3 linked regions of the Cricetulus griseus genome follow. The protein of the gene in region 1 interacts with the protein of each later gene in a pairwise test. Links are inferred from orthologs where the notes say so. Each region holds a gene or a part of one and is shown in the gene's direction. Other genes may lie near its edges.

Region 1 (3,500 bases):
ACCAAGGTCTTGGTGTCCTTGACTTTGCTAGGAAGCCATTGTAACTGGGATGATTCCTGGATCCCTGCCTTTCTTCTTTTTATTAATAATTTTTCCTTGTTCTTGAGAATTTCATACATATATACAATGAAACATGAGCATATCCACCATTTTACCCCTCCAACTCCCATTATTCCCAACTCCTCTTTTTCTTCTTCTATACTGGGTCTCATTATGGAGTCCTGGCTGACCTGGAACTCCTTATGTGGACCAGGCTGGCCTCAAAACTCAGACATCCACTCACTTCTGCCTCAAGAGTGCTCAGATGTTTTTTCTGTGCTTTTTTTTCCCTCTAACCCACTAAGTTCAATTAGTGCTGCCAATAAACACATAGGTGTGGGGCCACCCACGGGAGCACAGGCAGCCACAGCCTATCCACAGGAGCACAGGCAGCCTACCTGCCCCCGCCCCCCCCAAGCTGGCTTCATCAAGTGCAGACAACCATAGCTGCTGAGAACTCCTGATTGCTATGGGCGGCATGGCCAGAAGATGGCGTTTCACACATTCCTCCCTATCCTCTGGCTCTTATGTTCTTTCTGCCTTGCCCGCCAAGAGGTTCCTGAGCTGTGGGAGGGGCGGCACGGTTGACAGAGATGTCTGTCTTGTTCTCAGCACTGACTCTTATGCATCTCCATCTGACTGCTTGCTGTCCGAGGCAGACAGAAGCTTCTTGACTAAGGTTGAGACTGGCCAGGTCTGTGGGTAGAAACATAAGACAATTTGACAACATGACCATTTAACAAATGACAACAGCAGGCTGGCTTAACTCTAGGGCCCATGCCCTCCTCAGCCATGGGCTTCTGACCAGCATTACAGTACCAGGCATGGCATTCCCTTCTGTGGAGCAGGCCTCATATGCTAACAGAGAGCAGCACTTACCCCAGGACAGTTGTGCTAGTGCTCCAGTGGACACTTGCCAGGCAGCTTGTTATCTTGGCATGCAGAGTCCAGTGCTGGGTAAGACCACTGGTTGCTTTCCTCCCCAACAAGCTGCACAGCACCCCTGGCTCTCTGCAGCAAGTGCAGCTGCCTGGCACAGCCCAGTCATGCCTTTTCTCCTCTGTTCCCCTGCTGGCTTTTCTGAAGGTCTTAATAGCTGGGGTCTTTCTGGAGCCTCACAATAGCTTTGTGGGGTCACCTGCTTCCCATTTGACAGACAGGAAAAGTGAGGCACACAGAATCTAGTTTCCATGATGAAACTAGATCAGTCTAAGCCCCTTGCCTGTGTCTTGCCATATTGATTTTATTTATTTATTTAGTTTGCTTGTTTGTTTTTTGAGACAGGGTTTCTCTGTATTGCTTTGGAGCCTATCCTGGAACTCACTCTGGAGACCAGGCTGGCCTCAAACTCACAGAGATGCACGTGCCTCTGCCTCCCAAGTGCTGGGATTAAAGACGTGTGCTACCAACACCCAGCACTATATTGAAAATTTTGACTAGTCACTCACACGGTGCAGTTTCCACCCGGGCTCTGCCCCCACTACTTCCAACAGACCCTGAATTGAACTCCCCTCTCATTGAAGGGCTGATGGCTACCGTACAGGTTCATGTCTGACTTGGGCCTTTTTCCCAACTCTCTCTCCTTTTCAGCTGTTGTGTGAGACTGAGGGCCGGGTCCGTGTGGAGACCACTAAGGACCGCAGTGTCTTCACGGTTGAAGGAGCAGAGAAGGAAGATGAAGGTGTCTACACTGTCACAGTAAAGAACCCCGTGGGCGAGGACCAGGTCAACCTCACAGTCAAGGTCATCGGTGAGGCAACTGGAGGTCCAGGCTGGAGAACACAGGACACCAGGGAGGGTCCATCCATTCACTCACTTACTCAACAGTTATCACAGGGCACTCTAAAGCAGGCCATGGTGATGACTGGAACCTTTTTTATGCCTGAGAGGAGCCCTGCTTGAAGGGGAGATGGGTGTGTAGAAATGTCACTATCTGTGACATTGATAGTTCTCTGGGAGAAATGGCGTGGGGCAATCACTGTGTTCTGGAGGGCTGAGTGGGGTCAGAAGGATGTAGCCGATCGCAGCTGATACACGAGGTGAAAACAGACAGTGTGGAGCCATAAGTGGTAAGATGGTAGCATGATAGATTCTGCATTGCTTTGACTCTGGCGGTGGTGGGAGCAGATGGCTGTTACTGGTTGGGGTGGCGAGAAGAAGAGGTGAGCAATGTTGTTAGACCCTGAGCTGGACATAGCTGACACAGTGTCTCTTCCTCGTCAAGATGTGCCAGACGCTCCTGCAGCCCCCAAGGTCAGCAATGTGGGCGAGGACTCCTGCACTGTGCGGTGGGAGCCACCTGCCTACGACGGTGGACAGCCGGTCCTGGGTGAGTGCCAGGGCATGCAGACAAGCGTAGGCAGCTGTCACCTAGTGACTGGGCACAGACCCAGCTCTCATCTCCTCTCTCAGGATACATCCTGGAGCGCAAGAAGAAGAAGAGCTATAGGTGGATGAGGCTCAACTTTGATTTGCTGCGGGAGCTGAGCCACGAGGCGAGGCGCATGATCGAGGGTGTAGCCTATGAGATGCGTGTCTACGCAGTCAATGCCGTGGGGATGTCCAGACCCAGCCCTGCCTCTCAGCCCTTCATGCCTATTGGTGAATATGGTTGACTCCCAGAACTCCTGGGCCACGGGAGCAAATGGTAGCAGCCTTGAAGCTGATAGGTGGCCTCTGCATCAGGCCTCTGCATGCCTGGGTTCTGGTGCTGTCAGGGGTAACCTACCTTGTCCCACAGATGAGGAAACTCAGGCTGAACAAGTTAAATGGCCTCAGGGTCACCTCACTGATAGGACGGACACTCTGGTGAACACTAGTCCCATTCCTTCACAATTGAGACGGGATTTTACTTATGTAGCTCTGGCTGGCCTGGAACTCTCTATGTAGACCAAGCTGGCTTCAAACTCAGAAATCCACCTGCCCCTGCCTTCTGAGTGCTGTGATTAGAGTTGTGTGCTCCCTGCCCCAGAGGTCACAAGAGGGCAGCAGATTCCCTAGAACTGGAGTTACAGGAAATTGTACGCCACCATGTCGGGGCTGGGAACTGAACCTGAGTCCTCTGCAAGAGTCATTGCACCAGCTCCCAGCCTTCTTCCCTTTTTTTCAAGGAACTACTTTCTGGTTTGTGCGACTCACCTAATCACACATTGCCAGGATATTCCCACATTTCATGCTGGCTTTTGGCTTTCTTACACTTCTTGAGCTTCCTACGCCAATAGGCGAGTCTTTTCTGCATCCTTGTGTTCTCTTGGCTCCTTTCCTTTTTTGGGGGGGGAGGGTCCCTGCTTTGTAACTGCTCTTGTTACAAAGTCAATCCAGAGACATGTCTTTTAATGCAGGCCAAATGTTCCTGGACACACTTGGAAGCCAGCAGAGGGGAAGTCCTTCCTATGAGAGCAGCAAAACCTGAGGTCCTGGTCCTGAGTGGCAGCTTCCTTGCATGGTGCGGTCTCACTCAG
Region 2 (2,845 bases), on another chromosome or scaffold:
CGGGAACAGTATGAAGAGGAGACAGAGGCCAAGGCTGAGCTACAGCGTGTCCTGTCCAAGGCCAACTCAGAGGTGGCCCAGTGGAGGACCAAGTATGAGACGGACGCCATACAGAGGACTGAGGAACTGGAGGAAGCCAAGTGAGTCCTGGGCATCCAGCCCAGCCTGATGCTCAGTAGACCCCACGTGGGGGACACTTAGATAGAATGTGACAGCGCAGGAGGGCCCTGCCCCAGCCCCACCTCCTGCTCCTCTCGGGGAAGCTTTTTGCTCGCGTTATGTTTCTCATCCGAATATAAGACGAACAAAAGGTTTGTCTGAGGGCTGAGTGCTCCCACCTGGGGTAGGGTGCCGTAGGGAATGGTGGCTGCAGCCAAGAAGGTTGTAGCCTCATGGTCTTCAAGGTGTTCTATGTCTTCTTGCTCAGCTACTAAGATCTGCCTGCCAAGTGCTGGGCCTCTGGAGCCTGTCTGCAGGCTTTTCTGGATGCTTCTTTTGAAAGACTCACATGTTTTCCTCTTGTCCAAATCTACCTCCTCCATTCTCCCCCTCCCTTTCTACCCTGCCACCCTTCCTCCTTCCCCCGCTGCAGGAAGAAGCTGGCCCAGAGGCTTCAGGATGCAGAGGAGGCTGTGGAGGCCGTCAATGCCAAGTGTTCCTCACTGGAGAAGACCAAACACAGGCTGCAGAACGAGATCGAGGACCTGATGGTGGACGTGGAGCGCTCCAATGCCGCCGCCGCAGCCCTGGACAAGAAGCAGAGGAACTTCGACAAGGTGGGCTCATGGTGGAGCTGTGGACAGGGTGCGCAGTGATGGCAGGGGTCAGTGCCAGCTCAAGCCAGAGCGTTCTCCTTGGAGGCGTGGGGGGGGCGGGGCCTGGGGCAGCTCTGGACCACGTGCCCCTCCCCTGCAGATCCTGGCAGAGTGGAAGCAGAAGTATGAGGAGTCCCAGTCAGAGCTGGAGTCTTCCCAGAAGGAGGCGCGCTCCCTGAGCACAGAGCTCTTCAAGCTCAAGAATGCCTATGAGGAGTCATTGGAACACCTGGAGACCTTCAAGCGGGAGAACAAGAACCTTCAGGGTGTGTGAGCCGAAGGGCAGGGAAGGGCCATAGGGACAGGGAAGTCTCACAGGGCCAGGGAAGGGCCATGCCCCATGTCTGAGGGCCCCAACTGCAGTCCAGGCAAAGAAACGTGCCCCATACGAGACCACAGAAACCCCAGACTGAGTCACTATGTGTCCCCCACAGAGGAGATCTCAGATCTGACTGAGCAGCTGGGCTCCACTGGGAAGAGCATCCATGAGCTGGAGAAGATCCGAAAACAGCTGGAGGCTGAGAAGCTGGAGCTGCAGTCTGCCCTGGAGGAGGCTGAGGTAGGCGTGCAGGAGGGAGCAGGGCTGGGGCAGGGAATGAGATCTAGATTTGGTCCCTGCTCTCATCTCCCCTTAGTCTGGTTTCCTCCTCCCTGGCTCATTGCCAGGGCCTAGGCCAGTGCTGGACACATAGGAGACACCCAGCAAACATTTGTCAATGGATGAGTTCAGGGTCACCTAGCCCCCTCCATGGGAGCATTGCATTAGTAGTACCTGAGAGGCATCCTTGTTTCCACTCAGCCCCTTTCCACCTCTGCATGCCTGGTTTTTTGGTTTTTTTTTTTTTTCACTCTGTGCTTGATTGCCTGTTTCCTTGGCAACACTTTTCATTTTCCTCTTTGTCTTCAACTCTGGCTCTCCCCGCTGGGAGTCTGCATCACCTTTTCTTCAGCTTGCTTTCATTTATCTTATGCACGCCCTCTCCTTTCTTCCTCTGCACACTGATTCCTGAGCCATGCACACCATTCCCGAACTCTCTCTGTATCATGTTTTTTAGACAGACCCCTGCTTCTGCCCTGGACTCTGACTATATGCCCGCAAAACCCTTTCCCCACACCCTTTCCAGGCCTCCCTGGAGCACGAGGAGGGCAAGATCCTCCGGGCTCAGCTGGAGTTCAACCAGATCAAGGCAGAGATCGAAAGGAAGCTGGCAGAGAAGGACGAGGAGATGGAGCAGGCCAAGCGCAACCACCTGCGGGTGGTGGACTCCCTGCAGACCTCCCTGGATGCAGAGACTCGCAGCCGCAATGAGGCCCTGCGGGTGAAGAAGAAGATGGAGGGCGACCTCAATGAGATGGAGATCCAGCTCAGCCATGCCAACCGCATGGCTGCCGAGGCCCAGAAACAAGTGAAGAGCCTCCAGAGTCTGCTGAAGGTACTCAGAGACTTCCGGAAACGGTGTCACCTCACCCAGAGAGGGGACTAGCTTCTATATGGGCTAATTAGATGGTAGAGGCACTATCTGTCTCTTGTCACACAGTCATTGTAGAGATATCTGAGAGGTCAATCCTGAGCCACCACAATGGACTGCCCACCCACACCCCAGTTCTATGCAACAGCCTTGCGAAGGCACCAAGGCCAGATTTCTAGCTTATGCTCATTTTGCGGATCCTCAGGACACTCAAATCCAGCTGGATGACGCCGTCCGCGCCAATGACGACCTGAAGGAGAACATTGCCATCGTGGAGAGGCGCAACAACTTGCTGCAGGCGGAGCTGGAGGAGCTGCGGGCTGTAGTGGAGCAGACAGAGCGGTCCCGGAAGCTGGCGGAGCAGGAGCTGATTGAGACCAGTGAGCGGGTGCAGCTGCTGCACTCTCAGGTGATGGGGTGCCCTGCGCATTCCTGAGCTCAGCGGGCAACAGGGGAAAGAGCCCCTCGGAGATGCCCAGACTGTTTCCTGCCCTGCCACTCTCCTCCCAGAACACCAGCCTCATCAACCAGAAGAAGAAGATGGACGCGGACCTGTCCCAG
Region 3 (2,984 bases), about 21 Mb from region 1:
TATCTTGACTTGTTTCTCAAACCCAAACAGAAGCAGGTTTAACTATGGCTGAAGCATCCTCAGTGCTTCATCCCTTTCTCATCCATCTTTTCTAACAGGCATTGTTCTGGACTCTGGTGATGGTGTAACTCACAATGTCCCCATCTATGAGGGTTATGCCTTACCCCATGCCATCATGCGTCTGGATCTAGCTGGTCGGGATCTCACTGACTACCTCATGAAGATCCTCACTGAGCGCGGGTACTCCTTTGTCACCACTGGTGAGTGTCTGTGTGTGTGTGTGTGTGTGTGTGTGTGTGTGTGTGTGTGTGTGTGTGTTGTGTATATGTCTTCTCTGGACAGTCTACATCTGTTGGTTTTGCTTCCTCGATGGACCCACCTACTTTCCTGCAATTGATTTCTTCTTCCAAGCTTGACTATGAAGCCCTTTATCTCTGCAGCTGAACGTGAAATCGTGCGTGACATTAAGGAAAAACTGTGTTACGTCGCCCTGGACTTTGAGAATGAGATGGCTACAGCTGCCTCTTCCTCCTCTCTGGAGAAGAGCTATGAACTGCCTGATGGCCAGGTCATCACCATTGGCAACGAGCGTTTCCGCTGTCCAGAGACACTCTTCCAGCCTTCTTTCATTGGTAAGAGATGCATTCTGGTGTTGAAGCTCAGCTTCTCTAGAAATTCTGGACTCTCCCAGAGTAATGCCCATTTTAATTAAAAGGACAGCAGGGTTCTTGAGTCAAAGTCTGGCATCTCACCAAGCTCAGTATTGCTTTTAAGTAAAGAGAAAGACAGAACTAGCTGCTCTAGTGAAAAATGACTGATAATGTTACACCAAGTTTACCTCATAGTAGAGAGTGAGATGCAGCAGTCACTGAATAGCGCATGACTGATTATTCAAGAAAGCCAATTTATTCTAATAAGTTCCATTACCCATAGACTAGACTTTAAGTTATTCACCATCAAATGCAATCACAACGGTAACTGGACGTTTGATGTCACCAAATATCTTTCCTACACACTTGTTTCCAGAAGAAGCTGGAATCTGATTTTAGTCCATAATTTAAGTGTGGTAGCTCACACTTGCAATCCCAGTGCTCAGAAACTGAGGCAGGAGGATTGCCTTGAGTTCAAGGCTAGCCTGGGCTACAGAGATTCATCTTAAAACAAAACAAAATAGGCTAATTTTCACTTAAACACGTGTGAATCTTTTTACAATATATCTCCATACTCCTGATGACTGCAGGATGTGTTCATGCCAAACAGGCACTGAACACAGTTGTCTATCTTGGCAGACTGTACTGAATTATCTATTAGCACATTTTAGAGACCTTTGTCCCACCTGTTCCCAGCAGCGTGTTGTGGGGGAGCATATGTTTTAGATACAAATGGTGGCAGCTCACCAACACGGAAGAATTCTGTCCTCTGTCCCCTCCACCCCTGCCTGAATGTGCTGTGAATACTTTAAAAAGAACTTGTTCCTAGGTATGGAATCTGCTGGCATCCATGAAACTACTTACAATAGCATCATGAAGTGTGACATCGATATCCGCAAGGACCTATATGCCAACAATGTCCTATCTGGAGGCACCACTATGTACCCTGGTATTGCTGATCGTATGCAAAAGGAAATCACTGCACTGGCTCCCAGCACCATGAAGATTAAGGTAGAGAGCGTTTGTGAGTGGGAGGGCAAAGGCAAATCTTGGTATTCTAAGCCAAACTTCCTACTTTGGAATCTTTGCTTCTTAACTTCTACAAAGTTTTCTGCTTAGTGCTAATACTTTTCCTGATTTTTTTTCTAGCACGTTTCCCCAAGATATGACTTTTTAAGACTGCTTCTAAATAGTGAATATAAGTAAATATTTGAAACACAGAGGAGAGAAATAACTAAACTTACCTACACATTTAAAAGGCCCCAGGTTTTGAGCATGCATTTAGACTTTTGCCATATTATTCTCTAATGTAAAGAAGTAGGGACATGATGAAATGCAGGGAAGTTTGCAAAACCCAATTGGCTACATTGCTTTATGGTATGAAATCTCCTGTATTATTGATTGTCAGTTAATCTGTGATGCTTTTTCTGTGAATATTCCAAATCTATTGCCTGCGCCGTTGTTGGGAACTTCAAAACAGACTGATGGTTTTGTTTTCTTTCTGCAGATTATTGCTCCCCCTGAGCGTAAATACTCTGTGTGGATTGGGGGCTCTATTCTGGCCTCTCTGTCCACCTTCCAACAAATGTGGATCAGCAAGCAAGAGTATGACGAGGCAGGCCCATCCATTGTCCATCGCAAGTGCTTCTAAGATGTCTCTTTCTTAGTCTACCTTACATTCAGGATGGTGGTATTGTGCTTCTTGGAATCCTCTGAGCCCCGCTCCCCCATCTCTCATCAGTCATTGTACAGTTTGTTTACACACGTGCAGTTTGTTTGTGCTTCAAATATTTATTGCTTTATAAATAAATCAGATGAGGACTTGCAACCTACAGAAGCCTCTCTTCTTTCTTGTGGGAGTAGTCCTGGGGTGGGAAAGGCTTTTGTTCCAGTACCCTGGACCTGGGATGGGAAAGGAGGTGTCTCGTACCCTAGGCCCAAGATGGGGAAGGCCTTTGCTTGGTCACCCTAGGCCTGGGATGGGGAAGATATTTGTTCTGGTACCCTGGTGTTATCATATTATAGCAACACCAAGCTTGACAGATAAATTCATGTGGCATTGAGCTAGGAGTTAGAGCACTACATTTTGATTTTATCTTTTGGGGTAAAATCATGAATATATTTTGAATCTTAGAAGCAAAGATTAGTTCTGTGGTTTAGTTGTTTAGTTTACTTCTTTAGAAGTAAGCAAAGAAGGTGGGTAATACAATCATCTACAGTTAGTTGCTATATTTGGTATTGCAAATTGTTTTTTGCCACATCTTACATATTTCAAAACTTTATAGAAAACACACATTTTGGTAACAAAGAAAGTCAACGTTTACTTTAAATCGG

Evidence for each region.
Region 2: the proteins of Mybpc3 (region 1) and myosin-7 interact in a two-hybrid assay, tested with the Homo sapiens proteins (2 studies listed by IntAct). The link is inferred for Cricetulus griseus from reciprocal best matches to the Homo sapiens genes MYBPC3 and MYH7.
Region 3: the proteins of Mybpc3 (region 1) and Actc1 interact in a two-hybrid assay, tested with the Homo sapiens proteins (2 studies listed by IntAct). The link is inferred for Cricetulus griseus from reciprocal best matches to the Homo sapiens genes MYBPC3 and ACTC1.

Annotation. Positions count from the first base shown.
Region 1 is NC_048599.1:85,626,775-85,630,274, reverse strand, and holds part of Mybpc3 (myosin-binding protein C, cardiac-type), read left to right. Parts: intron 1-1,629; coding exon 1,630-1,789; intron 1,790-2,263; coding exon 2,264-2,368; intron 2,369-2,451; coding exon 2,452-2,640; intron 2,641-3,500. UniProt on the Homo sapiens protein: Thick filament-associated protein located in the crossbridge region of vertebrate striated muscle a bands. In vitro it binds MHC, F-actin and native thin filaments, and modifies the activity of actin-activated myosin ATPase.
Region 2 is NW_023276807.1:210,171,837-210,174,681, reverse strand, and holds part of myosin-7, read left to right. Parts: coding exon 1-140; intron 141-592; coding exon 593-776; intron 777-915; coding exon 916-1,081; intron 1,082-1,249; coding exon 1,250-1,374; intron 1,375-1,939; coding exon 1,940-2,248; intron 2,249-2,489; coding exon 2,490-2,693; intron 2,694-2,794; coding exon 2,795-2,845. UniProt on the Homo sapiens protein: Myosins are actin-based motor molecules with ATPase activity essential for muscle contraction. Forms regular bipolar thick filaments that, together with actin thin filaments, constitute the fundamental contractile unit of skeletal and cardiac muscle.
Region 3 is NC_048599.1:64,430,590-64,433,573, forward strand, and holds the end of Actc1 (actin, alpha cardiac muscle 1), read left to right. Parts: intron 1-98; coding exon 99-260; intron 261-440; coding exon 441-632; intron 633-1,479; coding exon 1,480-1,661; intron 1,662-2,157; coding exon 2,158-2,301; 3' UTR 2,302-2,484; downstream 2,485-2,984. UniProt on the Homo sapiens protein: Actins are highly conserved proteins that are involved in various types of cell motility and are ubiquitously expressed in all eukaryotic cells.